4 linked regions of the Saccharomyces cerevisiae S288C genome follow. Changing the gene in region 1 together with any one later gene gives a genetic interaction. Each region holds a gene or a part of one and is shown in the gene's direction. Other genes may lie near its edges. The genes, in order: DAL80, MEP1, INA1 and USV1.

Region 1 (5,963 bases):
TCATTGGGCAAATAATTTGAAAATCCTTCTGGAATTTCTGATTTTATCATTTCTTTATCGTCAAGAACTTTCGAGGCCAATGAGTTCAATGCCCACTCCTTTAGCTGTTCAGTTGCATCGGCCTTGAATTTTTTGTTGGATTCCTTTTTCCAACAATCGGGACCGTAGCCATCAACCTCTTTTTTATGTTCATCATTCTTTCTTAATCTTGGATCAGTACTTAAGACTTTGTGGTCTCGTATACCGACATTTTCAATTCCTGCCCTGTGGTTGAATGTTAGCCCTAAAGATGCAAAATTATGTTTGGGCAGAGGCGTTCTCTTACGTGATGATTTACCGTAGTCCACAGAATTGAAGAATTTTTCATAAACGTTTTCATCTTCTCTTCCCACTTCTTTTTCATTTATGCCACACTGAGTGCTTCCATCATCAACACTGTTTCCATGACCACTCTTCCATTGAGGGCTAAATTTACAACCAAATATTTCACGATAACCTAGCTCAATCATAGCGGAATCGATCATTTCTCGATCGCTCCAATTGTTACCACTATCTCCCTCCTTACTTAGGGTATGAAGTTTTTCATAATTCTTTGCAGCAAACTTTTCAAACCTTTCAAATTTCTTTTCAACAAACTCAACAAGATCTACATCACAACCTAAATGTTCCCTCATTAATCGCTGCCTTAATTCCCAAGGAAATTTTCCCGCGTAGTAATCGTCACCATTCATTTTGGTCTTTATCAAGTCGGTGTCTCTAATAAGAATTGCCACCTCACTATCTCTATTACCCAGTTGTGATCTTTCGTTAATATTAGCAGACCCTATAATACATCTTCTGTCATCAGCAATCAGAATTTTAGCATGAACGTAGAGCTGCTCGGTGATTAATCTTTCATTAGGCGCAAAAGTCGACCATTTTCTTAGTGAAAAGAACTGAATATATTGAGCTGGGTCAATATTTAGTTTCTTCAGTTTACTAAATGTAGAATGTTCACCTCTTGAAATTGATTGATATTGGAATTGCATAATTAAACGAAGACTTGAGGCTTCTGCAGTATCTACTGGAGAATCGAATCCTGGCATTAGTGGGATAAGAATAAAGGCTTTCCAAGGTTTTTTCTCCTGATTAGCTTTGACTATCCTATCAACGAGAGCATCACCAATTTTATTCAAAACGCAAGTCCCGTTCCAGACAGTTGATGTAATGAAGAATTGATTCTCAATATAAATAAAGTGTTCACTTTGTTCAATTAACTTCAGGTAAGCATTTTGAATTGAGCATTCCGTTTCCTTTAGCCCAAGAGACCAGTTCCCAGCACTTCTAAGTATTTGAGTTTCACAAGTCGATTTTTCGCGTAGAATTTCGAACATCGGCAAACTCTTCAATTCTTCAGCAGTTAAATCTGAAGGCGGGGTTAGTAATGGAGTTAACCTACTAGGTCTCTTAGCTCTCAATAAGTAATTCCATCTTTGAACAAAATGTCGGGCTAAGTCTCTTGCTGGCTCACCCAAAGTCATCATTTGCACATCATGCCATGGCATCCTCGGAATGACTTTTCTATCATACATTGATTCGAATGGTTTATCTAAATCATGAAAATCAGCAATTCTGGCATTTGAATAATCCTTACCAGGAAAATTTTGATCTAATAAAGATTCTGCATCATCTCGTAGAACGTGTTCAAAAGTATCATATCTACCATAACATAAATCTGTACCACCAATAAATGCAAATGTTTCATCAATAACGACAAACTTCTCGTGGTGTGCCCAAAAATATGTATTTTGTAGCCATTGATTGGGAGACCTTATGATATGTATATTTGGATGTAAATTTAGCATAGAATGCTTGGTCCAAAGACTATCTGTCCCAACAATATTCCCCACATTCCTATAAATCACAATAAAAATTTTGATACCTTTTTCTGCACAACTTTTCAGCATACGATCAATTCTAAATCCCTGGTTGCCTTTCACCGGACGTCGCAAGTATAATTCAGGGGATAGCCACCAATCATGGATATATATGACATCCTTTGCCATTAAGAGGGCCTCGCTTAACGACCAAAAATAATCACGCCCATCTACCAAAAATTTGCAAAACGAATTTGTTCTTACAGGTGCGAAACTACCAAATCTATTTGGTTTCGACCAAGGTGTTGAGGTAGACATTTTGATAATTGAACTCATCCATTGCTTTAACGAACTCTCTGATTTGCAAATAATTTTCAGTTTCCTTTCACTGTTTTCTAGGGTCAATAATAATAGTTTTGAAGATATATTGGACTTCTTTTGGTGTGTTTTCGATTTTCCATTCTTGTCTAGGATATTATTGGCATCATTTTCAATACCGAACTCTTCTAGTTCGTCATTTATTTCTAAATTGGGATCATGAATGATCCAGTTGATCTCGTTTTCGTTATCAAGTATGTTATTCTTGTTCCCAGAAAATCTAACCTTAAATTTCCAATCTATTAAGAATACGTCTAAAGGAGTTGTCGAAGAAAGATCCGACACGTAAGTTAGGTAAGAATTTCTTACCAGGAACCATTTGGTAGTATGTCTGTCGATCATGTCTTTAAACGCATGTTTACCAAAATGAGAAACTCTCCAACCTTGGGCCTTGGCAGTAGATCTAATTACTAAATACCCCTGTTTGCCCTGGAACCCACTTTCACGACTTAATAAATTGCCTAAGGGAGATAATTCGTAAAATTCAAACAATCTATTTGCATGAGGTCTCAAACATAATGCAATGTTCAGTAGTCTCAAATACCTTTCTAGCCTCAAATGTATCGGTTGGGAGAAATCGTCAGGTTCGTCAATTAAGTCTTGTAAATGTTTCATTTTGACGTTATCTATATTAAACTCAGATATTTCAGAAGATGATAAAGTTTCTAACGATGTAATGTTGCTGCCATTATCGTTATTGTTATTTTCCGATGTATGAGGAGCTGAGGCTGCAGAGGATGGTTTATTTTCTGCTTTTTTCTCCATTACATTTCTTTCTTTAACCATTTCTTTATAATGGGGGAAATGCGGAAGTTGTAACGAATGATATCTGTTGTTATCACTATAAAGCTTGCTTATAGTGAGTTGTTGGAACGCGACGATTTTCAATTTGTGATGTAGTGATTTGATATCTTTATAACTTCTTATAATAGACCATTTGAGCCTGTCTTCATCAATCCCATATTCCAAGTGTATTCTAAATAAAGAGTTTTCGTTCCTGCTATACATAAATTCCGCCACATTCGAAGAAATGCTTATAATGCTGGAGCTCCTTGGAATAGAGGGTCTCCTATCAGAATTCTCGCCAGTATTGTTGTTGTTGTTACCACGATGGTTATGGTTGCTATTGGTAATATCCAAAATGTTGTTGTCATTTTTCAAGGGAGACACTCTTACATCTAGTTTAGCTAATAGCAGAGGAGCCCTTCTCTTCCCATGTTCGTCTCTCAGAAATTGCGTGCTTGCGAACAATGAGGCCGGGCATCCTGCCAATAACGAATCTAATAAATCAGAGGCTAGTCTTTGTGTGTACAAATCTTCTTCGTTTACTTGTTGATGCTGGTGCTGGTTATGACGATGGCCGCTTCCAGCCGGTGTAGGAGAATTTACGCTGGATTTCAGTCTACCAATAGCAGAGATTTTCTTAAAAGCGTGGCCAAACTCTTTCTTCCAGCCATTGAACTGCTGTTGGGTGTAAGCTACAGAAGAAGAACGCCTTTGAGGGGCTCTTTCTTCCTCTCTTTTAGAATTCCGCTTAGAATGAACATTATTGTTACTGCTATGGAGATTGTTGTAGAGCCGGTGCATATTTTCCTCATCAGAACCTCGACGAGGATCATGTTCATTAGAGTGCATAATATGGTCTAATGAGTGGTTCGGTGACACATCACTCAGGTTTCTATCTACAAAGGATTTGGGCAATGCATGCTTCCTCTCCGCCTCCTTGCCGTTGGGAGTTCTTCGTTTTTCTCTTTGTAAACTGCTAGTCAGATTGCCATTCTCAGGTAATTGCCGCAATACTTCTTGGTTTTCTAACTCATCTGGTCTCGAATTTACTCTATCTACTTCTTCAGTCACCGATCTATCTGCCTGAGGTGGAGCGAAGTGAGTTCCAGACGCTGTTGACACGTTAGACATCACCCTTGTTTATCTATCCTACCTTTTCTTCTTGCGTACGTGCCTCTCAATGCGTCGTGTGAATTATCAGTGACCGGTCGTGCCTATAATGTCCTGCTAATTTCCCACTAAATCTTTCCCCATGGCGTATTCATCGTTATGTTTGTGTCTTTTGTTCAACCCAAAGGGCTGTAGCAATCTTCACCCGTTTGTCGTTGATAACGAGTTTCCACCTTATCACTTATCACTAGTGCTAATCAAACAGCAAAGAATGCTTGATAGAAACCGATCCTGGGCTTATCTCGCTGCATTGTGGCGGCATCCCTGGACTGTAATCAGCAAGTGTTGCTTAGTATATATATACATCCAGCGTCAGCTTGAATTTGGATACAGTTACTGTTTTTTCGATTTTCTCTTGGTTATTCTTTCTGAGACAGTAGTAATTTTGTATTACTGAGCGGGATATTGTTTATCTGCCGTCATACTATATTACATTATATTATATCATATTATATATAAGAGAATGGTGCTTAGTGATTCGTTGAAGCTGCCCTCGCCTACACTTTCAGCTGCTGCTGGAGTGGATGATTGTGACGGAGAGGACCACCCCACGTGCCAGAATTGTTTCACTGTCAAAACGCCCCTATGGAGAAGAGATGAACACGGTACTGTTCTCTGTAATGCATGTGGCCTCTTCCTGAAGTTGCACGGGGAACCAAGGCCTATCAGCTTGAAGACGGACACCATTAAGTCAAGAAATAGGAAAAAGCTGAATAACAACAATGTGAACACTAATGCCAATACCCATTCTAACGACCCAAATAAAATATTCAAGAGAAAGAAGAGACTGCTTACAACTGGTGGTGGTTCATTACCTACGAATAATCCGAAGGTTTCTATTCTGGAAAAGTTTATGGTGAGCGGGTCCATTAAGCCACTGTTAAAACCAAAGGAAACCGTTCCCAACACAAAGGAGTGCTCCACGCAGCGGGGAAAATTTTCTTTGGACCCCTGCGAACCTAGTGGGAAAAACTACCTCTATCAGATCAACGGTTCAGATATATACACGTCAAATATAGAGCTGACAAGGCTGCCTAATTTGTCAACATTATTAGAACCCTCACCTTTTTCAGATTCCGCTGTACCAGAAATAGAACTAACTTGGAAGCTACATAATGAGGAGGAGGTAATCAAATTGAAGACCAAGATAAGCGAATTGGAGTTGGTGACAGACCTATACAAAAAGCACATATTCCAACTGAACGAAAAATGCAAGCAACTGGAAGTGGAACTACACTCCAGAGCTTCAGTACAATCTCACCCACAACATTAAGAAAGGATGTAGCGTTCATGACAGTATAAATATAACAGGATATAGTATATAAAATTTAATATGATTTAGTGACACTTATTTTTACGCGAACGGGTAACACACTGCCATTTATCTGGTGCTGGAAAATTGCCCCTAAAGAAATGATAAGAATGAAAACGAATCAATGTGAAAGCAGTTTGATGAGATGTGAGCTACTTTGAAAGTATAGGAAGTCAGACATCGCACTGAGAAATGTCACGTAATTCTGCAGCAGGTTTGGAAAACACTCTTTTCCAACTAAAGTTTACATCAAAACAATTACAAAAGCAAGCCAATAAAGCCTCAAAGGAAGAAAAACAGGAAACTAATAAGCTCAAACGTGCTCTTAATGAAAATGAAGATATATCTCGTATATATGCATCCAATGCTATAAGAAAGAAAAATGAAAGATTACAACTGTTGAAGTTGGCATCACGGGTGGATTCGGTCGCATCAAGGGTACAAACCGCCGTCACGATGAG
Region 2 (8,797 bases), on another chromosome or scaffold:
GCGAAGCCCAATGATCCGGCTGCTACTAAGGCGTTACTTACATGTGATAGGTTCATTAGAGAAGAAAGATTTAGGAAAGCTATCGGAGGCGCAGAAAATGAAGCCAAGATCAGTTTGTGTCAGACTTTGAACTTGAGTTCATTTGATGCTAATGCAGATTTAGCCAATTATGAAGGTCCAAAGTTAGAATTTGAACAGCTGTATGACGATAAGAATGCCTTTAAAGGTGCAAAGATCAAGAACATGTCTCAAGAGTTTATTTCCAAAATGGTTAACGATCTTTTCCTAAAGGGAAAATATTTACCAAAAAAGTACGTTGCAGCTATTATCTCTCATGCTGATACCTTATTTCGTCAAGAGCCATCTATGGTAGAACTAGAAAATAACTCTACTCCTGATGTTAAGATATCAGTATGTGGTGATACGCATGGCCAATTTTATGATGTTTTGAATTTATTTCGCAAGTTTGGTAAAGTAGGTCCTAAGCACACTTATCTATTCAATGGTGATTTTGTCGACCGTGGTTCTTGGTCGTGTGAAGTTGCACTATTATTCTACTGTTTGAAAATATTACATCCAAATAATTTCTTTTTGAACAGAGGTAATCATGAGAGTGATAATATGAACAAAATCTATGGGTTTGAAGATGAGTGTAAATACAAATATTCACAAAGGATATTTAACATGTTTGCACAAAGTTTTGAGAGCCTTCCATTGGCTACCTTAATTAATAATGATTACCTTGTAATGCATGGTGGTTTACCAAGTGATCCTTCAGCAACTTTGTCTGATTTCAAGAATATTGATAGATTTGCCCAACCACCTAGAGATGGCGCCTTTATGGAACTTCTATGGGCGGACCCACAAGAAGCCAACGGGATGGGTCCTTCTCAGCGTGGTTTAGGACATGCTTTTGGACCCGACATTACAGATAGATTTCTAAGAAACAACAAATTGCGCAAGATTTTTAGATCTCACGAGTTAAGAATGGGTGGTGTGCAATTCGAGCAGAAGGGTAAATTAATGACAGTTTTCAGTGCTCCAAACTATTGTGATAGCCAAGGTAATCTTGGGGGTGTTATTCATGTTGTACCAGGCCATGGTATTTTACAGGCTGGCAGGAATGACGACCAAAATCTAATAATTGAGACATTCGAAGCTGTTGAGCACCCAGATATAAAACCAATGGCCTATTCTAATGGTGGTTTTGGTTTATAGTCATGCCTTTTCTATTTTGCTAGATTATTATCAAAAGCAGAAAGTCTGGGAATAAAAGAAACTAATATGAGCTAACGAAGTGGAGGAAGTAACTTTTTTTTTTTTTTTATAAATTTATACATCTTTCACAAAAAATTTCATAATGTTTATTGTCATGTATCATATCATAATACCTCTTAGAAAAATAAGAAATATCTTCGTTGTTGAACAACATTATTCCCTTCAGCCAGGAAATTATTTAAAAAAACAACACTCACGATGGGGGTCGAACCCATAATCTTCTGATTAGAAGTCAGACGCGTTGCCATTACGCCACGCGAGCTATTGAAATTACACTTGTGTTGAATTACGGGCTCGAGTAATACCGGAGTGTCTTGACAATCCTAATATAAACAGTCTTAGGGAAGTAACCAGTTGTCAAAACAGTTTATCAGATTAATTCACGGAATGTTACTTATCTTATATATTATATAAAATATGAATCATACTAAGTGGTGGAAGCGCGGAATCTCGGATCTAAACTAATTGTTCAGGCATTTATACTTTTGGGTAGTTCAGCTAGGGAAGGACGGGTTTTGTCTCATGTTGTTCGTTTTGTTATAAGGTTGTTTCATATGTGTTTTATGAACGTTTAGGATGACGTATTGTCATACTGACGTATCTCATTTTGAGATACAACAACTTAACTATCTCTAATGCAAGATTATGTTTATTTTATTAACCAAACATAATGAAATAATCGCCATGAAGCGCACAAGATTGGAATATGGGTGAATTTTGCGATAGTTGTGGGAAATTGGTGAATTTTGAGATTACTGTTAGGATTCAATTATCGGTAAAAGCTATAATATTAGTACAGAAAATATACTAAAAGTTCTCCTCGAGGATATAGGAATCCTCAAAATGGAATTGGTGTCCCTATGTAATACAATTACGATTATTTCTCATTCGGTTTTATATGTTTCATTATCCTATTACATTATCAATCCTTGCACTTCAGCTTCCTCTAACTTCGATGACAGCTTCTCATAACCTATGTCACCATCTAACACCGTATATGATAATATACTGGTAGTATGACTACTAGTTGATAGACGATAGTTGAATTTTTATTCCAAAACTAATATAATAGCCTTTACCAACAATGGAAGCCCAACAATTATCAAATTATTCACTAAATTCTACTATGAATATTAAAAAAAGCTTTTGAAGTACATCTTTATTAAAAAATTCTGATCATTACGTATACATAAAAAAAAAAGGAAAGTTCTTCTCAAAAATAATATACTGCTGACAAGAGCACCAGATCGGTAGACTATAATTGATTCTCACTCCAACACACATAATTATATTAGTAAATAATGCCATTGTTTGCAGTGGTTAGCCGTGATTAGTAGATAGTGGTTTCCTTATTCTAACATGTGTATATTTTTATGCAAAATTCATAGTAGAGTAGACCTTAAAAATATTATTCATATAGACTATTGACCTCTACGTTCGAACGGCGTTTGATTCAATTCAAAAATAATTACCGCAATTGTGGGTTGCATTATTTGAGTCTGCAAATGTAAGATGTCCATCTTGGAAACTCCATACAGTGCCTTCAATATCTGACGATTTTCCCCTGGGGAAAAGCTCCTTCAATTTAGAAACGTCGGTTTCAACCGTTTTGAAGGAATAATTCTCATTGGTTGTCTGGTATCTGTACCTTAACAGTATCGTTAGTGGGATAACAAAATCGTCTAATGAAGATTTCAATAACGGCATCATGTACGCTTTGGATGAAAATGGCACCTTCTTCTCAAATATCCGTTGGTTTTTTAAAGTAGACCCATGTATTTTCCTTTTAAACGACATCTTTATAAGATCCCTCTTCTTTGTAATATCGGTTGAGGATAAAATGTCCAACTCTTTTAGTTGCGAATTGGGTACTATATTTAACAGTTTTTTGATCGATTCTTGGAGCATCCCAATGGCAATTCCGCACTCATCATTGTTGTATTGGTTGATTGATAGGAAGAGATAGGTCAAACTCTGTAAATAATTCATAAATAATGCGTCCACTATACGGCCTCCTTGGCATTGCGAAGCAGTGCTATAAGATCCAATACAAAGCTTAGCGTAAAAGACACTGGACTTGCCTAGCTCTTCCAATTCTTGAGGCTCAAGGTCCGCAACAGCATCCTTGCTGATTTTTGATCTTAGTTTAGACAGTGCTAAAACGACAATCCCTAGTTGTTGCAGCAATTGAAACTCTAATGATAGCTGATTAAGGACGTTGAGAACCTGCATCTTTTGGCAATCATTAGCTGTGTTTATTTGAAAATTCTTTCCAAGAAAGCAGATTAAGCCTAGACCTCTCTTTAGATAGGTCCCGCTTGTTGTCCATAAGTTATTTGACGCTTGTGAAGATTCATAAGCTCTGTACAATGTTTCAATACCGATGTCTTGATAAAATACGGCAACATTGATTAACGCAATCGCTATCTCCTCTTCAATGAGAGCGGCGTCATTATTAGCTTCGTACCTGTGGGTTAACAAACCCTCTGTGTATTTTAGCCACGTATCTATACATGTAATGCTGTCAGCTTTGGACGAGGAACTGTTCAGTGAATTTATGCAATTATTTCGCAGTATGATTAAATCATTAGGTATGGAAGTTGTTATTTTGCTGCTGCCAGATAATTTATAGGGAAGTTTCTTTGTAGACATTGCATTCTCACGCATGATTTATTTTGTTAGAGCTACTTTTCACTTTAAAGTTCAACCTTTGAATAACCAGTTCTCGATTATACGTTTTTTCTTACAGCCGGTTTACGTCAGCGCAGGAAAATTGAAAACTATACTATTCAATACATAGAACGTAACACAATGGCGTCCCCTCAAAAGTGTACACTTCTTCAAGATGTTACTGCGGCTACATGCAACACCCCTAGAGCTATTTGTAAGGGAAGACAAGATCTCAAGTGTTACCACAGCCCGTAATTGAGTTCGGCACTATTCGAGCGCACAAAAAATCCCGTACTGTTTTTTTTCAGATAAGAAAGACTGAGCCTATATAAACACTACCTGAACCATTTTTAAGATAAAAGTTATATACGATAGAGTTATCCCCTCTTAATAATTGATCAAGAACCTCTGAAGCACAAAAGGGAGCATAAGAGCACTTAGGGACAAACGTATTTCTTTCCCCCACTCCCCTTTTTCCCTTTGCGATGCACATCCATAACTTGTACTTGTGTCTTGACATTCTTCAAAATCAACATGGCGATGCTCTTCTACGGTTGTCCTTTGCCACGAACTTTGTTTTGCGCCTCCCCTCCCTTTGTCAGGCTGAGTGCAAAAGAAAAGGCCCTGGTTGCTTATCTCTGCGGACACGCGCCCCTCTTATTGGATGAGACATCTCAGAGATTGCGATAACGATAAGATTCACAATTGCTACAGACACCCTTGTGTGACATCTTATGGCTATGTAAGCACAGAAGAGAAGAAGAAAGAAATGACAAAGTATTGATGGAAGATGTTTTTCCTGAAAAAAAAAAAAAAAAAAAATCGGAAAAGTGGTGTAGGCTTCTATAGCACCTTCTGCTTACCAGTCGATAATGCAGTTCCAGAATAAGATACTTAAAAGGTAGTTTATTTATATAGGCGCTCTTGTAACTTGTTTAGGCTTATGATCAGAGAATTATTTTAGTAAACATAACTGCAGTACGGATTCTTATACTGTAGAAACTATGGAGAGTCGAACTACAGGGCCTTTAACGACTGAAACCTACGATGGCCCCACTGTGGCCTTCATGATATTAGGTGCCGCCCTAGTATTTTTTATGGTGCCCGGATTGGGATTCTTGTACTCCGGATTGGCAAGAAGGAAGTCTGCACTAGCACTAATCTGGGTTGTATTAATGGCGACTTTGGTCGGTATACTGCAATGGTATTTCTGGGGTTACTCTCTAGCTTTTTCAAAGTCCGCTCCGAATAATAAATTCATTGGGAATCTAGATTCGTTTGGCTTTAGAAACGTGTACGGAAAAAAATTCGATGAAGATGCCTACCCTGAGCTCGCGTATGCAACCTTCCAAATGATGTTTTCGTGCGTCAACTTAAGTATTATCGCTGGCGCCACTGCCGAAAGAGGCAGGCTGCTACCGCACATGGTTTTTCTCTTTATTCTAGCTACCATTGGATATTGTCCAGTGACGTATTGGATTTGGTCACCAGGTGGTTGGGCATACCAATGGGGAGTCCTCGATTGGGCAGGCGGCGGCAACATTGAAATATTAAGCGCTGTTTCCGGGTTTGTTTACTCTTGGTTTTTGGGCAAAAGAAATGAAAAGTTACTGATAAATTTCAGGCCTCATAATGTTTCATTGGTCACTCTAGGCACATCCATACTGTGGTTTGGCTGGCTGCTATTTAATTCTGCATCCTCATTATCCCCAAATTTGAGGTCAGTTTATGCATTCATGAATACATGTCTCAGTGCCATTACTGGTGGGATGACGTGGTGTCTTCTGGATTACAGATCGGAGAAGAAATGGTCGACAGTTGGTCTGTGCTCCGGTATCATTTCTGGGCTGGTGGCTGCAACGCCAAGCTCAGGCTGTATAACCCTTTACGGTTCACTTATTCAAGGCATTGTGGCGGGGGTAGTGTGTAACTTTGCGACGAAGTTGAAATACTACGCTAAAGTAGATGATGCCATGGACATTCTAGCTGAGCACGGGGTTGCAGGCGTAATAGGACTAATTTTCAATGCCCTTTTTGGAGCAGACTGGGTCATTGGTATGGATGGCACTACAGAGCACGAGGGCGGCTGGGTAACTCACAATTACAAGCAAATGTATAAGCAGATCGCTTACATTGCCGCATCCATTGGGTACACTGCTGCTGTAACTGCAATAATCTGCTTTGTGCTCGGCTACATACCCGGTATGAGGCTAAGAATATCAGAAGAGGCAGAGGAGGCGGGTATGGACGAAGATCAAATTGGCGAATTTGCGTACGATTATGTGGAAGTGAGAAGAGATTACTATCTATGGGGTGTAGACGAAGATTCACAACGCTCTGATGTAAATCACCGGGTGAACAACGCTCATTTGGCCGCTGAACGTAGCAGTAGCGGTACTAATAGTTCCTCGGATGGGAATGGAGAAATGATTCAATCCGAAAAGATCCTACCAATTCATCAAGAAGATCCTGCCAATAGGTAAACGGTTTATTGATTTTGTTTCCAGCTTGGCTCTCTTGATTTTTTATGAGCACGTGTTATTTATTCCTTATTCAAACCTTCATATATGTATAGATGTGCATTGTTTATACGTTACCTAGCATTTTAATGACCCTCCTATTTAGTTATCTTTTATCACATTCGTTAAAACCTAGAGGAAAAAAAGAAAACTGGAGGATTTCACAAATCTTCCTCCAATGTTGCTCATTTCAAGCAAAAAACGACCCCAGTGAGGGTTGAACTCACGATCTTGCGATTAACAGTCGCACGCCTTAACCAACTTGGCCATGGAGTCTTTTTGACTATGTTCTCGAGAAAATATAGGCTCTCTTAGTCCTCAACATTTTAATTATTTGAGTACACCAACCGGTAATCGTGAAATAGTTAACACTCTAGATCCAAAAAATACGTATTTAGGTATAATGGGATGTAAGACCGTTTTTATGAGGGTGCCTTATTTAAATTAAAATTATTATTGCTCGGGCCTTTACCTCGATTTCATGGAATTTTCAACAGGACAAGAAAATGAAGCTTAGAAAAAATATAGAATAATAAATAATATGAAAAGGGAATGGTCAACAGTCATAGTCGCAATTTCTCTCAGGGCGAAATGGACTTTTTGAATGATGATGAACTAGACTTAGATTTACCGGTAACCGCAGAAATATCGAAAGAGTTATTCGCAACAGAAATAGAGAAGTATCGTGAATCCGAGACTAATGGGACCGATGTTGATAACTTTGATGTCGACAGATTCCTAGTGCAGAAAAATTTCCATTACCTTCCTCTCGATTCCCTTATTAGAGATTTGTCTGGACTTTCACAAAAAATGGTACAAACATTATTAGAACAAATAAGAAGTAACTACGACGACTATCTGACTTTTTCCAATACCTATACAGATGAAGAAAATGAAACTCTAATAAATTTAGAGAAAACACAAAGTGATCTTCAAAAATTTATGACTCAATTAGATCATTTGATAAAGGATGACATCAGCAATACACAAGAAATTATAAAGGATGTCCTGGAATACCTAAAGAAGTTAGATGAGATTTACGGCTCTCTGCGTAACCATTCACAATTGACAGAAGCGCTCTCACTTGGAAAGAGATTGAGTAAATCTCTCCATGAAATGTGCGGTATAGAACCATTAGAAGAAGAAATTTGCTCTGGCCTGATTGAGCAGTTGTATAAGTTGATTACGGCATCTCGTCGAATATTGGAGTCTTGTGCTGATTCCAATTCACCATATATTCATCATCTGCGCAATGACTATCAAGACCTTCTGCAAGAATTTCAAATCTCACTGAAAATCTTGACCGAAAAGTGTCTTGAAAACCCATCAAGCCTGCAAAACCTATCTTTGACATTAGTCTCCATTATAAAAACGGCATAGTTGGGAGAAAACTTTCCATACTTCAATTGTGGACTGATATAAGTATTTTAGTTTTGCCCGCATGATCATCCCACATGGCTACAGCAGTTCTCTCATAGGAAAATAGTACAATAGCTACGTGATATAATCTAAATAATTGTTGCCAATGTGTAATTATATCATTTTGAACGTACGCGAAATGGATTATTTTCAAAAATTTTGTTTCTTGAAATGAGTAAAAGCAAAAGTCCAACTCTCCAAGTCGATGTAAACAACTTTTTGCCAAAGGGACTGAAAGACTAAATCGAGGATTATCCCGTTCAAACTATTCCAGAAACGCTCGTTAGTAACAAAAGACATACCTTGTTGACCAATTGATCACATGTTTGGTTTCAGCGGTAGTAATAACGGGTTCGGAAATAAACCAGCTGGTTCGACCGGTTTTTCATTTGGACAAAACAATAACAATACAAATACTCAACCTTCGGCTTCAGGATTTGGTTTTGGGGGCAGCCAGCCAAATTCTGGGACGGCTACTACCGGAGGGTTTGGTGCAAATCAGGCCACAAATACTTTTGGAAGTAACCAACAAAGTAGTACAGGTGGAGGCCTTTTCGGTAATAAGCCTGCTCTTGGCAGCCTAGGAAGTTCAAGCACTACCGCTTCAGGAACTACAGCTACTGGAACAGGTTTATTTGGGCAACAAACAGCACAACCTCAACAATCCACCATTGGAGGTGGGTTATTTGGAAACAAGCCAACTACCACAACGGGAGGTCTTTTCGGCAACAGTGCACAAAACAATAGTACCACAAGTGGGGGTTTATTTGGTAATAAAGTAGGATCCACTGGCTCACTGATGGGCGGCAATAGCACTCAAAACACATCTAACATGAATGCAGGCGGACTTTTTGGTGCAAAGCCTCAGAATACTACAGCGACTACGGGAGGCCTATTTGGCAGTAAGCCAC
Region 3 (9,375 bases), on another chromosome or scaffold:
GTATGGATGATTCTAATGTTCTGACTACTACCAAAAGTAAGAAAAGATCATTAGAAGATAATGAAACTGAAATTGAGGTATCCCGAGACACATGGAATAATAAGAATATGAGAAGTCTGGAACCACCAAGATCGAAGAAACGCATAAATTTAATTGCAGCAATAAAAGGAGTGAAATCGATCAAACCAGTTCGAACGACCTTAAGATATGATGAAGCAATTACATATAATAAAGACAACAAAGAAAAAGACAGATATGTTGAAGCTTATCATAAAGAAATTAGCCAACTATTGAAAATGAACACTTGGGATACAAACAAATATTATGATAGAAATGACATAGATCCTAAAAAAGTAATAAACTCAATGTTTATATTTAACAAGAAACGTGATGGTACACACAAAGCTAGATTTGTTGCAAGAGGCGACATTCAACACCCCGATACATATGATTCTGATATGCAATCCAATACCGTACATCACTATGCACTGATGACGTCACTGTCAATCGCATTAGACAACGACTATTATATCACACAGCTGGACATATCCTCTGCTTACTTATATGCTGATATCAAAGAAGAATTATACATAAGACCTCCACCACATTTAGGTTTGAATGATAAATTACTACGTTTGAGAAAATCACTCTATGGTTTGAAACAAAGTGGTGCAAACTGGTATGAAACCATTAAATCATATTTAATAAATTGTTGCGACATGCAAGAAGTTCGCGGATGGTCATGCGTATTTAAGAATAGTCAAGTAACAATTTGCTTATTCGTTGATGATATGATATTATTCAGCAAAGACTTAAATGCAAATAAGAAAATCATAACAACACTCAAGAAACAATACGATACAAAGATAATAAATCTGGGTGAAAGAGATAACGAAATTCAGTACGACATACTTGGATTAGAGATCAAATATCAAAGAAGCAAGTACATGAAATTAGGTATGGAAAAATCCTTGACAGAAAAATTACCCAAACTAAACGTACCTTTGAACCCAAAAGGAAAGAAACTTAGAGCTCCAGGTCAACCAGGTCATTATATAGACCAGGATGAACTAGAAATAGATGAAGATGAATACAAAGAGAAGGTACATGAAATGCAAAAGTTGATTGGTCTAGCTTCATATGTTGGATATAAATTTAGATTTGACTTACTATACTACATCAACACACTTGCTCAACATATACTATTCCCCTCTAGACAAGTTTTAGACATGACATATGAGTTAATACAATTCATGTGGGACACTAGAGATAAACAATTAATATGGCACAAAAACAAACCTACCAAGCCAGATAATAAACTAGTCGCAATAAGCGATGCTTCATATGGTAACCAACCATATTACAAGTCACAAATTGGTAACATTTTCCTACTCAACGGAAAAGTGATTGGAGGAAAGTCGACAAAGGCTTCGTTAACATGCACTTCAACTACAGAAGCAGAAATACACGCAGTCAGTGAAGCTATACCGCTATTGAATAACCTCAGTCACCTTGTGCAAGAACTTAACAAGAAACCAATTATTAAAGGCTTACTTACTGATAGTAGATCAACGATCAGTATAATTAAGTCTACAAATGAAGAGAAATTTAGAAACAGATTTTTTGGCACAAAGGCAATGAGACTTAGAGATGAAGTATCAGGTAATAATTTATACGTATACTACATCGAGACCAAGAAGAACATTGCTGATGTGATGACAAAACCTCTTCCGATAAAAACATTTAAACTATTAACAAACAAATGGATTCATTAGATCTATTACATTATGGGTGGTATGTTGGAATAAAAATCAACTATCATCTACTAACTAGTATTTACGTTACTAGTATATTATCATATACGGTGTTAGAAGATGACGCAAATGATGAGAAATAGTCATCTAAATTAGTGGAAGCTGAAACGCAAGGATTGATAATGTAATAGGATCAATGAATATTAACATATAAAATGATGATAATAATATTTATAGAATTGTGTAGAATTGCAGATTCCCTTTTATGGATTCCTAAATCCTCGAGGAGAACTTCTAGTATATCTACATACCTAATATTATTGCCTTATTAAAAATGGAATCCCAACAATTACATCAAAATCCACATTCTCTTCACTTCTCCGATAGACTTGTAATTTATCTTATTTCATTTCCTAACACTTTGATCGAAGAAGAGGGATAACAACAGACGAAAACACATTTAAGGGCTATACAAAGATGAATATGGGAGGCAGTAGCAGCACTGCTGCCAAAAAAGCGACTTGTAAAATATCGATGTTATGGAATTGGTATACCATTGACACCTGCTTCATTGCCAGATCTTGGAGAAATGACACCAAAGGAAAATTTGCTGGTTCTTGCATCGGCTGTTTTGCGCTTGTGGTGGTAGCTCAATGGCTTACTCGTTTTTCAAGGCAATTTGACGTAGAGCTATTAAAAAGACAGAAAATAAAGCATTTAGCTAGTTACTCGCCAGAGGAGTACGTTGTCAAATGTGGAGAAGAGGATGCTAAATCTGATATAGAAGAACTACAAGGCTTTTACAACGAACCAAGCTGGAAAACAACTTTAATTTCCTTACAAAAAAGTTTCATTTATAGTTTTTACGTTTGGGGTCCAAGGAGATTGAACGAGCCAGAAGACGACCTGTTAAAGAAGGTCCTATCATGCTGTACATTAATAACGCCAGTGGATTTGTACCCAACTTTTTTGGATCACATGATAAGAGTTACTATTTTCGTATTACAGTGGGGGTTATCTTATATCATCATGCTGCTGTTCATGTACTATAACGGCTATATCATTATTAGTTGTTTAATAGGTGCTATCGTTGGTCGTTTCATATTTTGCTATGAACCTCTAGGCTCATTGGGTGCTAATGGATCAGCCCAGGGTACAGTGAGTTATGATAAAGAGAGTGATGATCGCAAATGCTGCTTGTAGAAAGACAAAAATGAATAGAGGAAAGCCGAGAGGTTTGTTTCAAAAATTGACGCCTTCCTCATTTTTTTCATAATTAGCTGGTAAAAGTTACTATTTGTAACGACTGCTAAATAACAAATAATTATTCGTGTAAAAATAAATAGCTAATACCACCAGGTGTTCATATTCCATGACTGCATATTTGGGAAACGAGACGGTTTGAACATCCTTAGTTGATGTAAAACTATAATAAAAGCTCTATGGGAAGTAAACTATCTGCGGGTCGGGTAAGGAATGATGCTTGCTCGACGTGTAGCGATGAAAAAAGTGAAAACTTATTTGAACTCTAGAAAACTGCTAAGATCCTGAACTGATACCGAAGTTAATGACCTTGACCGGTCTTCTGCTGTATGGATTTTAAAGCAAGTGGGACAAAGTTTAAGAAAACTGGCAAGAAGGTAGTGCCTGCTAAAGCGTTTGAAGAAATTGTTCAGACAAATAGAGATGTTCTGAAAAAATCAGCATTCCTCTCAGATTTACTTGAAAATTTACAACCGCACCTCAATAACATTAAGAAAATACGATGTGTTGCAATTGGAAATTTCAAGGAGGATTTTCCTGCGACGTACCAATTCGCTCTTCTCCTAGAGATTACTGATTATATAAAAAGTGAGGATGAAAGGGATGTCGTTGTTTCCCTGTATGATCCAATATTTACTAAAGAAGAGATACAGTACTTGAAAAGTTTAGGAAGCAAATGGCTGATAGAGGAAGAATTTTCAGAGAACGATGCAATTGATTATGAATCGGTATTATATTTCCTTCCCCATGCTCCTTTGGATTTAACTGAGAACATACTATCGTCACAGCGACCACACTTATGGCTGGCAAATAATATGATATCACACACCGATAGATACACCAAAGCAAAACTTTGTGAAAACTATCCTAATTTAAGCAAGCTAGTTCATTACTTGCAGACTAACGCTCCGCCAGAAGTTAAAAAAGCACATGATGTAGATGGTTTTGCAACATTCATTCCAAAGAGAAAAAGAAAAAACAGAAACAACTCCTCTAAACTCAAGGTCACACCATCTGATATAGACTATGATTCAATAGCACCGAAGTTTAAGTCCTGCCAAATACTCACCGATTTTGATGAAGGAAAGTATTTGAAGGAAAAACCCTGGATCAATTCCTTCTCTGACTTGACGTTACATGCTATAGAGTACTAACATATCATTCACTACATAGTACTTTATAACTAAACTGTAACCTTTCAGGGCATCGTAACCTGACGCTTTACCATCAATAACGACACGAGACCGCTTTATCTATGATACTGGAACAATCAACATGATTGTTATAAATGTACTCGACAGGATCATGAAAGGATACCAACTTAGTTGCCGGTTCATTGAAATGGAAAGCTCAAGAACGTATACTGAAAGAGAGCGACGTCTACTTTGCCCACAAAAATCTACTCTCTGAATTGAATAGTATTTAGAGATTGCATAATTCAAGCCCTCCTCGAGGAAAGGATATAAATGAAAATACCGTTTTTCCTGCTGATGGTTATCGTCCCTGTCAAGGATACTTCTCGGACTCGAACAACGTTACAGCTCAACTTAAAGAAGGCTAAATACGACAAGGGCGCTTGCCCTAAGAGGAACTGTTTCTAAGTTCTAACGAGTGCCTGCGAAGATCGGTTTTTTTTAACTTCGCGGGCGAATTGATAAATAAAGTTCTTCTTGCAATTTTTTAAGATCAAGGTTGGGGCAAAAAGGACGCAAACGAATGGTTGGGTTAAGAAAGTGGAAAGACCCAAACCTGAAGTTCATTTAGTTCTTGGCGGAATGAATCATTCGAACGGCGCAATACGCTCGTCAAAGAAGGAGGTATGATTTATGACGGTTTGTGGGTAGCCCTCTAAACACGTGGAGAGTAACCTTTTCTGTTTAGCGATCCTAGAACTGCGAACAATGGTAGCTATTCGCTTACTCAACAATATTGTTCTTGATTAATGCATTCAAATATGTAACTTCGTCCCTCATATAAGCGTCTGACGCGTCGTGAAAATTTACCCTCTCAAGAAAATACAAGAGATTACGTAAAATTAGAAACCAAAAGATATGAGTGGAACAGACACATATCACCCATATTTCCTTTTCACGTAAGAAAACTTAAGTACTAGTGCGGTGCCTGCGTTAGTGCTTGTCTTTAGGTCAAACAGGTCATCTTGACCAACTTAGCTTATAATAAGAATGATAATCGATTACTCTAAATAGCATTCTTTCATTTGCGGCATCTTATAACCCACACACCGCATTTAGGACCCGTTTTTTTTCTTTTTTTTTTTGTTGAAAAAATTCAACAGTTCCTATTTTTTTCTTTTCATTCTTTTTTTTTGCCTTGCCTTCGTTTCGAGAATTCTTTTTCTTTTTCTTTAGGTAAGGGACCTTCTCAGCTGAGGCACGGTGGGGTTTGTAATAGTGTCCATTCTGGCACAAATGCATAAGTGATGCTAAAATAGTGATACGTCTAAACAAAACGGTTTGGATGCCTAGCAAATAGTAAAAAGACTTGAATATATCACTTTTATCACTATGTAAAAAAACTGAGTTATATTATTAAGTTTTTTTTGAAATGTTCCCGTTTGACGTGTATTTAGTACAGTATGTTCCGTGGATACTGTTTAGGTGCATTTAAGCGCTCCAGAACTCTCCTTTAAATTCCTGCAGCACTCCGTCAGTTGCTTCGTAAATCCGCCTGGATACCGCCTTGAAGATTAAAGTTCCCCTCAGTACTCGTTTAGCTTGAATCCACCGCATTATGGCCTGGTAAATTCCCTAGTTGCTTTTTTCTATACGGCGTCGTCCCTGGAAAAAAAAAACTTGCCTACAGATCTTAGTAGACAAATTTAACTACGTCAATCTATTGTTCTGCTTAAAAAAAAAGTTGAAATTGTTAAATCCTCAACAAACTTATCGCTTTTCAAGCTGCTGCAATCATAGATCTTACACTTCTACACAGAATTTTTTTTTCCTGTAAAAAGAACGACAAAATATATAAACCTTTGACAATCTAGCTGCATTTACTCACATTAAGCCTTGAGATTTTCATTTACTTCATAATAGCTTGTAGATGCGATGCTGATACAGTAAAATAAAAATTCAGTAATACAGTCAAATTATTGCGATGAATTTTAAAATACTCCTCCCGATTTGTGCTTTATTGACACTTACAACATTTCTGTTGACCATTATTGCAACTGCGGGTTCTACCTCAAATTATAAGCCAATAACGAACATTTATATCGGTGATGCTGATATATCAAAAATCAACGTTACAAAAGTTATGCCACAAGTTGGCCCAATTTTGACTGTGTTAGGTTCTGCTCTAACCGCTCCAAATACAACGGTGGATACCATCTTCGGCGCTCTTAAGGCAATCGCTTCTACCGAAGCCTTGTCTCCTTTACTGCACTTGTTGTCTAATGCTGCTAACACTTCAGCCACATTATCATCTTTGACACAGTTGGCTCCAATGGCTTTGCTAGGAACCAATACCGCTACTACCACGACCTTCTCCGCTCTTGATGAGTTATTGACTACCTCTAAAAACACAACCGAACTCTTGGATGGGTTTAGCACATTGATGTCATCTATGTCAACCAACACTTCTTCTACTTCGGCTTCCTTAGAAAATACTGTTCTAACCCTATTAGTGGATTCGACCAATCCTATAGGCACTACTGAGTCTTTGATCACTTTAAATAATATGACCACAGAAGAAAAGACAAAATTGTCGCCTGTATTCGAGTTATTCGCAAGTTCCAAGAACATTACTGCCACATGCGATGCGTTAGAAACCATAATGAACTCTACCATTCCAACTTCAACGGTCTCCTCATTGTTTTCTAGTCTAAAAACCAGTCTTGCGGAAGGTGGCAATGCTACTGAAACTATTATGCAATTAGGCTCCCTCGTTCCTTCGAGTTTAAAACCAGCTGTCCAAGCTGTTGTTACTCTGTTTGATGAAACTACATCTCAAAATGTAACATTATCCGTATTGAGCACTATGATTGCCGAAAACATTACCCAATCATCTTCCGCTAAAGCTGCCATGGGTGCTTTGACTGACTTGTTGAATTACACTACAAACCAAACAGAGCTGCTAACATCTGTCGAAAGTTTGGCCCTCTCTAAAGAAGCCGCTTCCTCTACTAACCAATTGGTGGCACTTGATGAAATCCTTTCTGCAAGTGCTAACGCATCCACAGTTGTTTCCATAATCCCTACTTTGGAATCCCAATTGGCCAATAACACCGTATTACTTAAGTACGTTCCATACTTGTTCAGCCTATTAGCTGCGTCAAGCGACCCCGTGTCAAGTTTCTCTTCTCTGGTTAATATCACCAAATGGGCAGAAACTAATGCCGCTACATTTATGCCCATGTTGAAAATTTTAAACTCTGCTGTAAACATGACAACTATCACACCAGAACAACTCAAGGAAATGACTCCTTCTATCCTTGAATATCTACACATCCCTGTCATATACCGTTTGTCCATTTTCACAATGTGTCGTGCTCACTTAAACAGAACAATGTACTCGTGTAGCAAGTCACACGCTGTTCAAAACATGGATTTCCGGTCGATTGTTTACAACAACATTGAAGGCTCGGACTTTAAACCTTATATGGATGCCCTGAACATCGGTAAGGACGATTTGCATTTAGATGGTGAATTACAAGACAGACAACACATGTATGTCCCAGCAGTGAAAGCAGCTTTAGCTATGAACTTAATGTGCATAATCACATCCTTCTTCTTAATGGTATTCTTGTTGCTACTAAGTAGACGTTCCGTGGTGAGTCAAAAATTATGGTTGGCATTGGGCTTTATTTCCTGTTGGATATGTATTTTCAGCGGGTTGGGAAGCACAATCTTTAGCGTCATCCTTAATATGATGAAATCCGGCTCCAAGAAGGACAATTACGATGTCATTATTTCTGGCTCTTCTCCATTTTATGGCCTAATGTGGTCTGGATTTGTATTTGCCGTCCTTGTATTTCTCTGCATTGCATACTGCTGGTGGAGCAGCAGAAAGGGAGCTGCCATCGTGGAAGCTGAGAAAGCTGTTCAAGAAAGTGACTCTACTACCTCAAGAATCATTGAAGAACACGAAAGCCCCATTGATGCTGAAAAAAACTTTGCAAGGTAAAATAATAAAAAGAAGATCATGCAACATCACCCCGTAAATTTTTTCAATTCTCCATCCTTTTAATTTTCTTCATTATAATTTTCTGAATTGTATATAGACAATATATTTTAATCATATTTAATATGAAACGGAACACAAAAATTAATTAATAACCTTGCCTTTTTCAAATTCAAATCAATGGTTTTTCCTCAATTGGAGCGTTCGCATAGATGACGGTGGGCCTCGATCTCACGCTACACCATAGAATGAAATTCAGTAATGCTCCAACGACAGCCCCCCACATCAAACCCTGGTAGTTCCTACCAATGCTCATTGAAATACCGTAATCACTATAGTTATGCTTTAGGATGTATTTGATGTATGAGTAAGTGCCCAAACACGAACCTATACTGACTAATAGGGCGGCAAAGGCGAAAAATGAAAAAAAGGCACCAAACCACGTTAGCGGCCTTATGTGGATGATCCAGCGCAATACGTTGAACACTAGATTCACAAAGGTCAAGACAATACCAATAAGAATGGTAATGAACATACACTTGACCAAATTGTTGTAGTATGTCATTTTACTTTTTAGTTTTTCGGGCAAAACAACACTGGCCACGGAATCCATAAGCTCCAGAGCCTCATTGTTGTTGATATTGTCATACACTAATGACGATAGGTTAAAATTCTGGATACCGTGAGGCGAAGAACATGATTGGATGTTATGCGAGGAGTCCACTGTACAGTACGACCAAAGCCCTATATTTATATATGAGGGCAGGCCCAACGAAGATAGCGTAGCAGAACTCAAAGAAGGGAGCACCGTCGATACCTTCATCTGCGACAGATCCAATTCTGCACAGTAAATTTTATTTATGGGACTGTAATTTTTCGTTGATCCTGCGCATGCAACAATGGCTAATATAAGTGCTCCTAGCGAAAATATAGCTGCAAAAAATAACGTGAAAAAATTCCTCATGCTTATAGCGTCCTTCGATGATGTGTTTGTTTTTTTCTTAATAGTTCTCTATTGCTTTAATCAAGTTTCACTACTGCGCAGCGTTGTATGATCTTGATCTAGTTTCTTTTAGTTCTACTTCCAAACAACTGGTCCAGAATGAAACACCACTGGACACTCATTGACTACTGAGACATGGAAGAGCAACATTCTCGCGTATATATACTTCTCAGCCAATTTTCCTGCGAGAAGCGCTAAAAATACCGAGCTGGG
Region 4 (8,078 bases), on another chromosome or scaffold:
ATTCAACCAAGAGCTAACATTCAACTGGACTTCCCAGAATTGAAACCATACAAACAGGTTAAACAAATTGCTCCCGCTGAGCTTGAAGGTTTGTTGGATTTGGAAAGAGTTATTGTAGTTACCGGTTTTGCTGAAGTCGGCCCATGGGGTTCGGCCAGAACAAGATGGGAAATGGAAGCTTTTGGTGAATTTTCGTTGGAAGGTTGCGTTGAAATGGCCTGGATTATGGGCTTCATTTCATACCATAACGGTAATTTGAAGGGTCGTCCATACACTGGTTGGGTTGATTCCAAAACAAAAGAACCAGTTGATGACAAGGACGTTAAGGCCAAGTATGAAACATCAATCCTAGAACACAGTGGTATCAGATTGATCGAACCAGAGTTATTCAATGGTTACAACCCAGAAAAGAAGGAAATGATTCAAGAAGTCATTGTCGAAGAAGACTTGGAACCATTTGAGGCTTCGAAGGAAACTGCCGAACAATTTAAACACCAACATGGTGACAAAGTGGATATCTTCGAAATCCCAGAAACAGGAGAGTACTCTGTTAAGTTACTAAAGGGTGCCACTTTATACATTCCAAAGGCTTTGAGATTTGACCGTTTGGTTGCAGGTCAAATTCCAACTGGTTGGAATGCTAAGACTTATGGTATCTCTGATGATATCATTTCTCAGGTTGACCCAATCACATTATTCGTTTTGGTCTCTGTTGTGGAAGCATTTATTGCATCTGGTATCACCGACCCATACGAAATGTACAAATACGTACATGTTTCTGAGGTTGGTAACTGTTCTGGTTCTGGTATGGGTGGTGTTTCTGCCTTACGTGGTATGTTTAAGGACCGTTTCAAGGATGAGCCTGTCCAAAATGATATTTTACAAGAATCATTTATCAACACCATGTCCGCTTGGGTTAATATGTTGTTGATTTCCTCATCTGGTCCAATCAAGACACCTGTTGGTGCCTGTGCCACATCCGTGGAATCTGTTGACATTGGTGTAGAAACCATCTTGTCTGGTAAGGCTAGAATCTGTATTGTCGGTGGTTACGATGATTTCCAAGAAGAAGGCTCCTTTGAGTTCGGTAACATGAAGGCCACTTCCAACACTTTGGAAGAATTTGAACATGGTCGTACCCCAGCGGAAATGTCCAGACCTGCCACCACTACCCGTAACGGTTTTATGGAAGCTCAAGGTGCTGGTATTCAAATCATCATGCAAGCTGATTTAGCTTTGAAGATGGGTGTGCCAATTTACGGTATTGTTGCCATGGCTGCTACCGCCACCGATAAGATTGGTAGATCTGTGCCAGCTCCAGGTAAGGGTATTTTAACCACTGCTCGTGAACACCACTCCAGTGTTAAGTATGCTTCACCAAACTTGAACATGAAGTACAGAAAGCGCCAATTGGTTACTCGTGAAGCTCAGATTAAAGATTGGGTAGAAAACGAATTGGAAGCTTTGAAGTTGGAGGCCGAAGAAATTCCAAGCGAAGACCAAAACGAGTTCTTACTTGAACGTACCAGAGAAATCCACAACGAAGCTGAAAGTCAATTGAGAGCTGCACAACAACAATGGGGTAACGACTTCTACAAGAGGGACCCACGTATTGCTCCATTGAGAGGAGCACTGGCTACTTACGGTTTAACTATTGATGACTTGGGTGTCGCTTCATTCCACGGTACATCCACAAAGGCTAATGACAAGAACGAATCTGCCACAATTAATGAAATGATGAAGCATTTGGGTAGATCTGAAGGTAATCCCGTCATTGGTGTTTTCCAAAAGTTCTTGACTGGTCATCCAAAGGGTGCTGCTGGTGCATGGATGATGAATGGTGCTTTGCAAATTCTAAACAGTGGTATTATTCCAGGTAACCGTAACGCTGATAACGTGGATAAGATCTTGGAGCAATTTGAATACGTCTTGTACCCATCCAAGACTTTAAAGACCGACGGTGTCAGAGCCGTGTCCATCACTTCTTTCGGTTTTGGTCAAAAGGGTGGTCAAGCTATTGTGGTTCATCCAGACTACTTATACGGTGCTATCACTGAAGACAGATACAACGAGTATGTCGCCAAGGTTAGTGCCAGAGAGAAAAGTGCCTACAAATTCTTCCATAATGGTATGATCTACAACAAGTTGTTCGTAAGTAAAGAGCATGCTCCATACACTGATGAATTGGAAGAGGATGTTTACTTGGACCCATTAGCCCGTGTATCTAAGGATAAGAAATCAGGCTCCTTGACTTTCAACTCTAAAAACATCCAAAGCAAGGACAGTTACATCAATGCTAACACCATTGAAACTGCCAAGATGATTGAAAACATGACCAAGGAGAAAGTCTCTAACGGTGGCGTCGGTGTAGATGTTGAATTAATCACTAGCATCAACGTTGAAAATGATACTTTTATCGAGCGCAATTTCACCCCGCAAGAAATAGAGTACTGCAGCGCGCAGCCTAGTGTGCAAAGCTCTTTCGCTGGGACATGGTCCGCCAAAGAGGCTGTTTTCAAGTCCTTAGGCGTCAAGTCCTTAGGCGGTGGTGCTGCATTGAAAGACATCGAAATCGTACGCGTTAACAAAAACGCTCCAGCCGTTGAACTGCACGGTAACGCCAAAAAGGCTGCCGAAGAAGCTGGTGTTACCGATGTGAAGGTATCTATTTCTCACGATGACCTCCAAGCTGTCGCGGTCGCCGTTTCTACTAAGAAATAGAGAGAGCACTACGTAGTCCCTCTTTTAATATGTAACGTGTCGCTTCTATTTATCAGACATAATAGTAATTACTTTGTTATTTTTCTATCGTTTCCTTACTTTAGCCTCTGATTTCGATCTGGCCTAATCATTGTGTACGTCTATAATCATATGGCCCTGAGCGTACACACCGTTCAATTCTTCTATTTGGTCGGCCCACACAAATTCGCGCGGGGGCATATTGACGCGTGGAAGAATAGAAGTCCGCGTAGCAGCTCTGGGGTAATTAGGCTTTTACGATATCGGCTGGCCCAGCACCGGTTTTTATTCCTCCCGTGGTTGTTGTCTCTACCGTGAGGAGGGGAAAGGGTCAGGGACGGCCGGTAGTTATGTTGTCTCAACGATTACTGCCATCTATTGTTTACACCAATCGCGTGGGGCAAGGGGCTGGAAGGCTGTGGTGTACAGAATAGGGTCTAATACCCGATGCGCGACGCTCCTGCGACTGGTTGTGTGAGCCACCCCTTGATCGCCTCTGCCAAATACTCAGGGAAGAGAAAAATCGCGAAGGTGGACGAGTGCCCTTAAAGAACCAGCATCCTCGATCGCCGCTGCCGTTCGCCCTGGCTTAGCGGTGGGAAGCATCCTTTGGCTTTCGAATTCTCCGCCGTTGAGTCCCCCTAAGGGCCTTATTTATCCCCTCTATTTTTTTTTAGAAAATGTTTTCTTTTTCAAGATTTGTTTGCTCCTTCACGGCTTCCCCCTTAACCGTTCAACAGTCTTCCGTATATAACAATCTCAATCCACTCTTATTGCCTATAATTTTGATTAATTCTTATTCATCCCGGCAGATAAAGTTTCGTCTTGTTTTGAAAGAGACAGGAGTTCTTGGCTGCAGTATTTTGCAACAGCTTCATTAACCATGTATGTAAAGAAAAAATCTGGAGCGACTTACTGGCTTAGCTTTTTTTACTAACACATAAATAATACTGTGATAAGATAAGAAAAAAACACGAAATGGAAAATACCACGAATCGTAATACTGCAGGCGTTCTTACGAGCAGCAATGGTAACTTTGCCACCAATAGTGTAGCGGCATCAACTCCGAAGAGGTCCAAAAGTGCTCGAAGGAAAACGTTCAAATGCACCGGATATGACGGTTGTACGATGTCCTTCACTAGAGCGGAACATCTTGCACGTCATATAAGAAAGCACACTGGTGAAAAGCCGTTCCAGTGTCCTGCATGTTTGAAATTCTTCAGTAGAGTTGATAATTTGAAACAGCATCGGGAATCGGTCCATGCACATAAAAACCACCATTCTACCAGCTCGCACCAGCGTAAGCCTTCCTCTTCATCTTTATCCTCCTCTTCTTCTGCATCTTCTTCGTCTTCTGCTTCATCATCTACATCATATAGTGATCCTTACAGGAAAACTAATATTAATAGCGGGAACATGCCGATGATGGCAGAAAACGAAAAAGCGCCCCAAATAATACATTCTTCGCCGGAGTTCATTACTAGCACGAGAAGCATCCCACCCATCTCTCCAAGGTCCATTTATAATACCCAACGACAGCAACAACACCAACAACAACAGCATCAACAGGCTCCCTATTATTTTCCTTCCCATCCAATCACTGATAGTTACTACCAGTATCCTCTTCCCAGTAATAATAACACCATCAATTATTTACCATCAGTAGATGTGCAGTATCCTTTGAATGTGAGCCCCTCCTCAACGAGCCATCCGGCCTCTGAGGTAATCATATCGTCCTTTCCTCCGAGGTCCATGCCAAGTACTTCCTTCAAATATAAAGATTCTGCCGACTTTCAAGCACGGACAACTATGAACAAATACAATATTAGACCAAGCAATATCAATGTCAATACTAGTAATATCAATAACCATCTTGATTCATTCTCCCCGCCGTTTTCTCCGTCAACGACAGTTGCTGAAGCAAAACCAATTATTTTACCACAGTATCAGCAGGCATTTAGCCAACCACCAAATGGAAATAAAAACAATAATATGTCTTCCTCGAAGAATGGCGGCAAAGGGGGAGAAAATTTCAAGAATACTGATGATCGCAATGATAATAATAACAAAAAGAGGTCGGAAACTTTATCAGAGTCTGATATTTCGGTCAACACCAATAAGAAAAGGCTTAGTGTTGATTACATATTGACTTGATCGAGGCAATCTGATCTAAGTTTCAAATATTCCGTAGAGTATAAATATCTTACAACTAATATAATTCTTAATATGCGCAAACAAATTATGGTGCGCATCTTTTTTTATTTTTATGTTTTGTTCCATACTAAATGCAGTTTATAAAATTTTTCAAATGAGTCAAGCTATGTATAATCAGTGCTACAAAAATGATAAGATGCAATTGCAAGAAAAAATCCCTTGCATAAAGGGCTTTCTGACCTCTTGCGTTGATCAACGAGAAATAACCGCAAAACTTAATTTTAAACTCCCGCGTCTGCTTTACACAGCCCACAGTAGCATCAAAAACTACGATGTAACACTAACGGTGGATTGTGAATACGGAACGAACAATCCTGCATCTTGACTTCAAAACTTGATCATATACACCTATACCGCCATGGTTATCTCGCCCTTACGCTCACCCGGACCCCCGTTAATTGCAATAATAAGAAAAAGAAAAGAAAGAAGCTTTTTATCTCATTTCACTGACAAGATGACGCTTTTTCCGATTTTAGCAGATAAACTATCACATATAACCACTTTTTTATATTACATGAAATGATGCCCTACAACACCCCTCCAAATATCCAAGAACCTATGAACTTCGCAAGCAGCAACCCCTTTGGTATTATTCCAGATGCGCTCAGTTTCCAGAATTTCAAATATGATCGTCTTCAGCAGCAGCAACAGCAGCAGCAACAGCAGCAACAAAATCGCACTGCGTCATCGTTACAGCAGCCGCAACAGCAACAACCAATAAGCCCGCCTTTGTTTTTAGTAGGGGCCGGTACCAGCGAAAACTCAAACCTTAACAAGAATGCCAACACTAGTACTATCCCTCCTTTACTCTTTAGCAGATCGTCTCAGCATTATGTTGTCCCAGATATAGACCACTCCTCCATAATATACAAGAACAACATCTGCAAATCTTTCAAAGATGACTTATTTTTCTGTCCAAGATCTTTACTTTCTCTCGAAGAACAACAAGCATGCGAGAAAATGGATAGGCTGACCGCTGAACAAATGTCATTGTATCATCAGAACACGCAATCCAGTTCTAATCCTGGTTCTATGTCTTCTTCACCTCCAAATTCTGCTTCTTCTATATTCAACTCTAGGCCGAAGTTCAATCCTTATACATCTCAAAGTTTTAATCCTTTGGAAAGTGTTCAAGAATGATCGCGATATGGACAAACACGTTGTTTTGATTTCTTTTTTGCATATTCCTCATTTGAACAAATCTTGTGTCCATGTTATGTTACGTTATGTTATATTATGTCAAGCCGTTTCATTTCCTACTTATTTTTAATTATCGGTTTCTTCTATTCATGTAGTTCACTATTCAATTAGTATATGTAGATAAAAGGAGAAGGGTTTTATCTGCAAACAGACGCAAGACGTATGTACTAAGCACTAAATACTCATATAACCATATTCTTTCAAAAATACATGCCATTTTTCTGTTTCATAATAATCCTGGAGGCTACAAGTATGGTGATATAATAAATCTTGAACCTTGTTTTACTGGAACTCCTAAAGTCAAGCCATACATAATGCCAGAAACAGGACCTGCGTAGATAACATATAACATGTACCAGTCATGATTACCCAACGTGCCGTTACAAATGATATATAGACCTACATTTTAGTTAGTTTCGTCGTAAGTTATGGTAATAAAGGAAAAGTCCTCTAATGAATCTATAATATAGGTTCACACAAATAAGAGTGATAATTAAAAGCGTATTCGACACTGAAAGATCTGCTGGGAATACTATACTGATATTTCCAAAATATCCCTTATAAATTGAATCTGGAATAGCACTTCTTTTTTTAAAAAACCTTGAATTGTTGGTAGCATTTCTATCCTCCCACTATGAGTTACACTGACAACCCTCCTCAAACAAAAAGAGCTTTATCGTTAGACGATCTGGTGAATCACGATGAAAATGAAAAGGTTAAATTACAAAAATTAAGTGAGGCGGCTAATGGCAGCAGACCTTTTGCCGAAAATTTAGAATCTGATATAAATCAAACGGAAACGGGCCAAGCTGCTCCGATTGACAATTACAAGGAGAGTACTGGTCATGGCTCGCACTCACAAAAACCTAAATCACGCAAGTCATCTAATGATGATGAAGAAACCGATACGGATGACGAAATGGGTGCAAGTGGAGAAATTAATTTTGATTCAGAAATGGACTTTGACTATGATAAACAACATAGAAATTTACTATCCAACGGATCACCTCCTATGAATGATGGTAGTGATGCCAATGCGAAGTTAGAAAAGCCTTCTGATGATTCAATTCATCAGAATAGCAAGAGTGATGAAGAACAGAGAATACCGAAACAAGGTAATGAAGGGAACATTGCCAGCAACTATATAACCCAAGTACCTCTGCAAAAGCAGAAGCAAACTGAGAAGAAGATAGCGGGAAATGCAGTAGGAAGCGTGGTCAAGAAGGAAGAAGAAGCGAATGCAGCTGTAGATAATATTTTTGAAGAGAAAGCTACTTTACAATCAAAAAAGAATAATATCAAGAGAGATTTGGAGGTTCTGAATGAAATATCTGCGTCTTCCAAGCCCAGTAAGTACAGGAATGTTCCAATTTGGGCACAAAAATGGAAACCTACTATCAAAGCTCTTCAAAGTATAAATGTGAAAGATCTCAAAATTGACCCATCTTTTTTAAACATTATTCCCGATGATGACTTAACAAAGTCAGTACAGGACTGGGTTTATGCTACAATATACTCAATTGCTCCTGAACTAAGATCCTTCATTGAGTTAGAAATGAAATTTGGTGTTATTATTGATGCGAAAGGCCCAGATCGTGTAAATCCACCAGTTTCTTCACAATGTGTTTTCACTGAGCTTGATGCCCATCTAACGCCTAATATTGATGCATCTTTGTTCAAAGAGTTGAGCAAATATATTCGTGGTATTAGCGAAGTCACTGAAAATACAGGTAAATTCAGTATTATTGAATCCCAGACAAGAGATTCCGTCTATAGAGTCGGACTATCCACGCAAAGACCAAGGTTTTTGAGAATGAGTACAGATATTAAGACTGGGAGGGTAGGACAATTTATAGAGAAAAGACATGTAGCCCAACTACTATTATATTCACCAAAAGATAGTTACGACGTTAAAATCTCCCTAA

What was found.
Region 2: of DAL80 (region 1) and MEP1, extra expression of one rescues a mutant of the other (dosage rescue), as found in Saccharomyces cerevisiae (one study listed by BioGRID).
Region 3: mutations in DAL80 (region 1) and INA1 together harm fitness more than expected from each alone (negative genetic interaction), as found in Saccharomyces cerevisiae (one large-scale study listed by BioGRID).
Region 4: mutations in DAL80 (region 1) and USV1 together harm fitness less than expected from each alone (positive genetic interaction), as found in Saccharomyces cerevisiae (one large-scale study listed by BioGRID).

What each region holds. Positions count from the first base shown.
Region 1 is NC_001143.9:502,245-508,207, forward strand, and holds DAL80 (Dal80p), read left to right. Parts: upstream 1-4,653; coding exon 4,654-5,463; downstream 5,464-5,963. Other genes in the region: SPO14 (phospholipase D), read right to left, coding at 1-4,151; YKR032W (uncharacterized protein), read left to right, coding at 4,273-4,587; DID2 (Did2p), read left to right, coding at 5,695-5,963. UniProt on the Saccharomyces cerevisiae protein: Negative regulator of multiple nitrogen catabolic genes including the allantoin pathway genes.
Region 2 is NC_001139.9:729,083-737,879, reverse strand, and holds MEP1 (ammonium permease MEP1), read left to right. Parts: upstream 1-4,952; coding exon 4,953-6,431; downstream 6,432-8,797. Other genes in the region: PPT1 (protein serine/threonine phosphatase), read left to right, coding at 1-1,218; YGR122W (uncharacterized protein), read right to left, coding at 2,737-3,945; YGR121W-A (uncharacterized protein), read right to left, coding at 4,253-4,468; Golgi transport complex subunit COG2, read left to right, coding at 7,059-7,847; FG-nucleoporin NUP57, read left to right, coding at 8,209-8,797. UniProt on the Saccharomyces cerevisiae protein: Transporter for ammonium (both charged and uncharged NH3 and NH4) to use as a nitrogen source. Can also transport methylamine. The affinity of MEP1 is about twenty times lower than that of MEP2. MEP3 has the lowest affinity.
Region 3 is NC_001144.5:945,022-954,396, forward strand, and holds INA1 (Ina1p), read left to right. Parts: upstream 1-6,134; coding exon 6,135-8,162; downstream 8,163-9,375. Other genes in the region: high-affinity Cu transporter CTR3, read left to right, coding at 2,232-2,957; BER1 (Ber1p), read left to right, coding at 3,347-4,171; YLR412C-A (uncharacterized protein), read right to left, coding at 5,246-5,452; PUN1 (Pun1p), read right to left, coding at 8,332-9,123; YLR415C (uncharacterized protein), read right to left, coding at 9,238-9,375.
Region 4 is NC_001148.4:111,595-119,672, forward strand, and holds USV1 (Usv1p), read left to right. Parts: upstream 1-3,717; coding exon 3,718-4,893; downstream 4,894-8,078. Other genes in the region: trifunctional fatty acid synthase subunit FAS2, read left to right, coding at 1-2,721; YPL229W (uncharacterized protein), read left to right, coding at 5,473-6,093; CET1 (polynucleotide 5'-phosphatase), read left to right, coding at 6,788-8,078. UniProt on the Saccharomyces cerevisiae protein: Transcription factor that participates in the transcriptional activation of glucose-repressed genes during exponential growth in non-fermentable carbon conditions. Also involved in salt-stress response.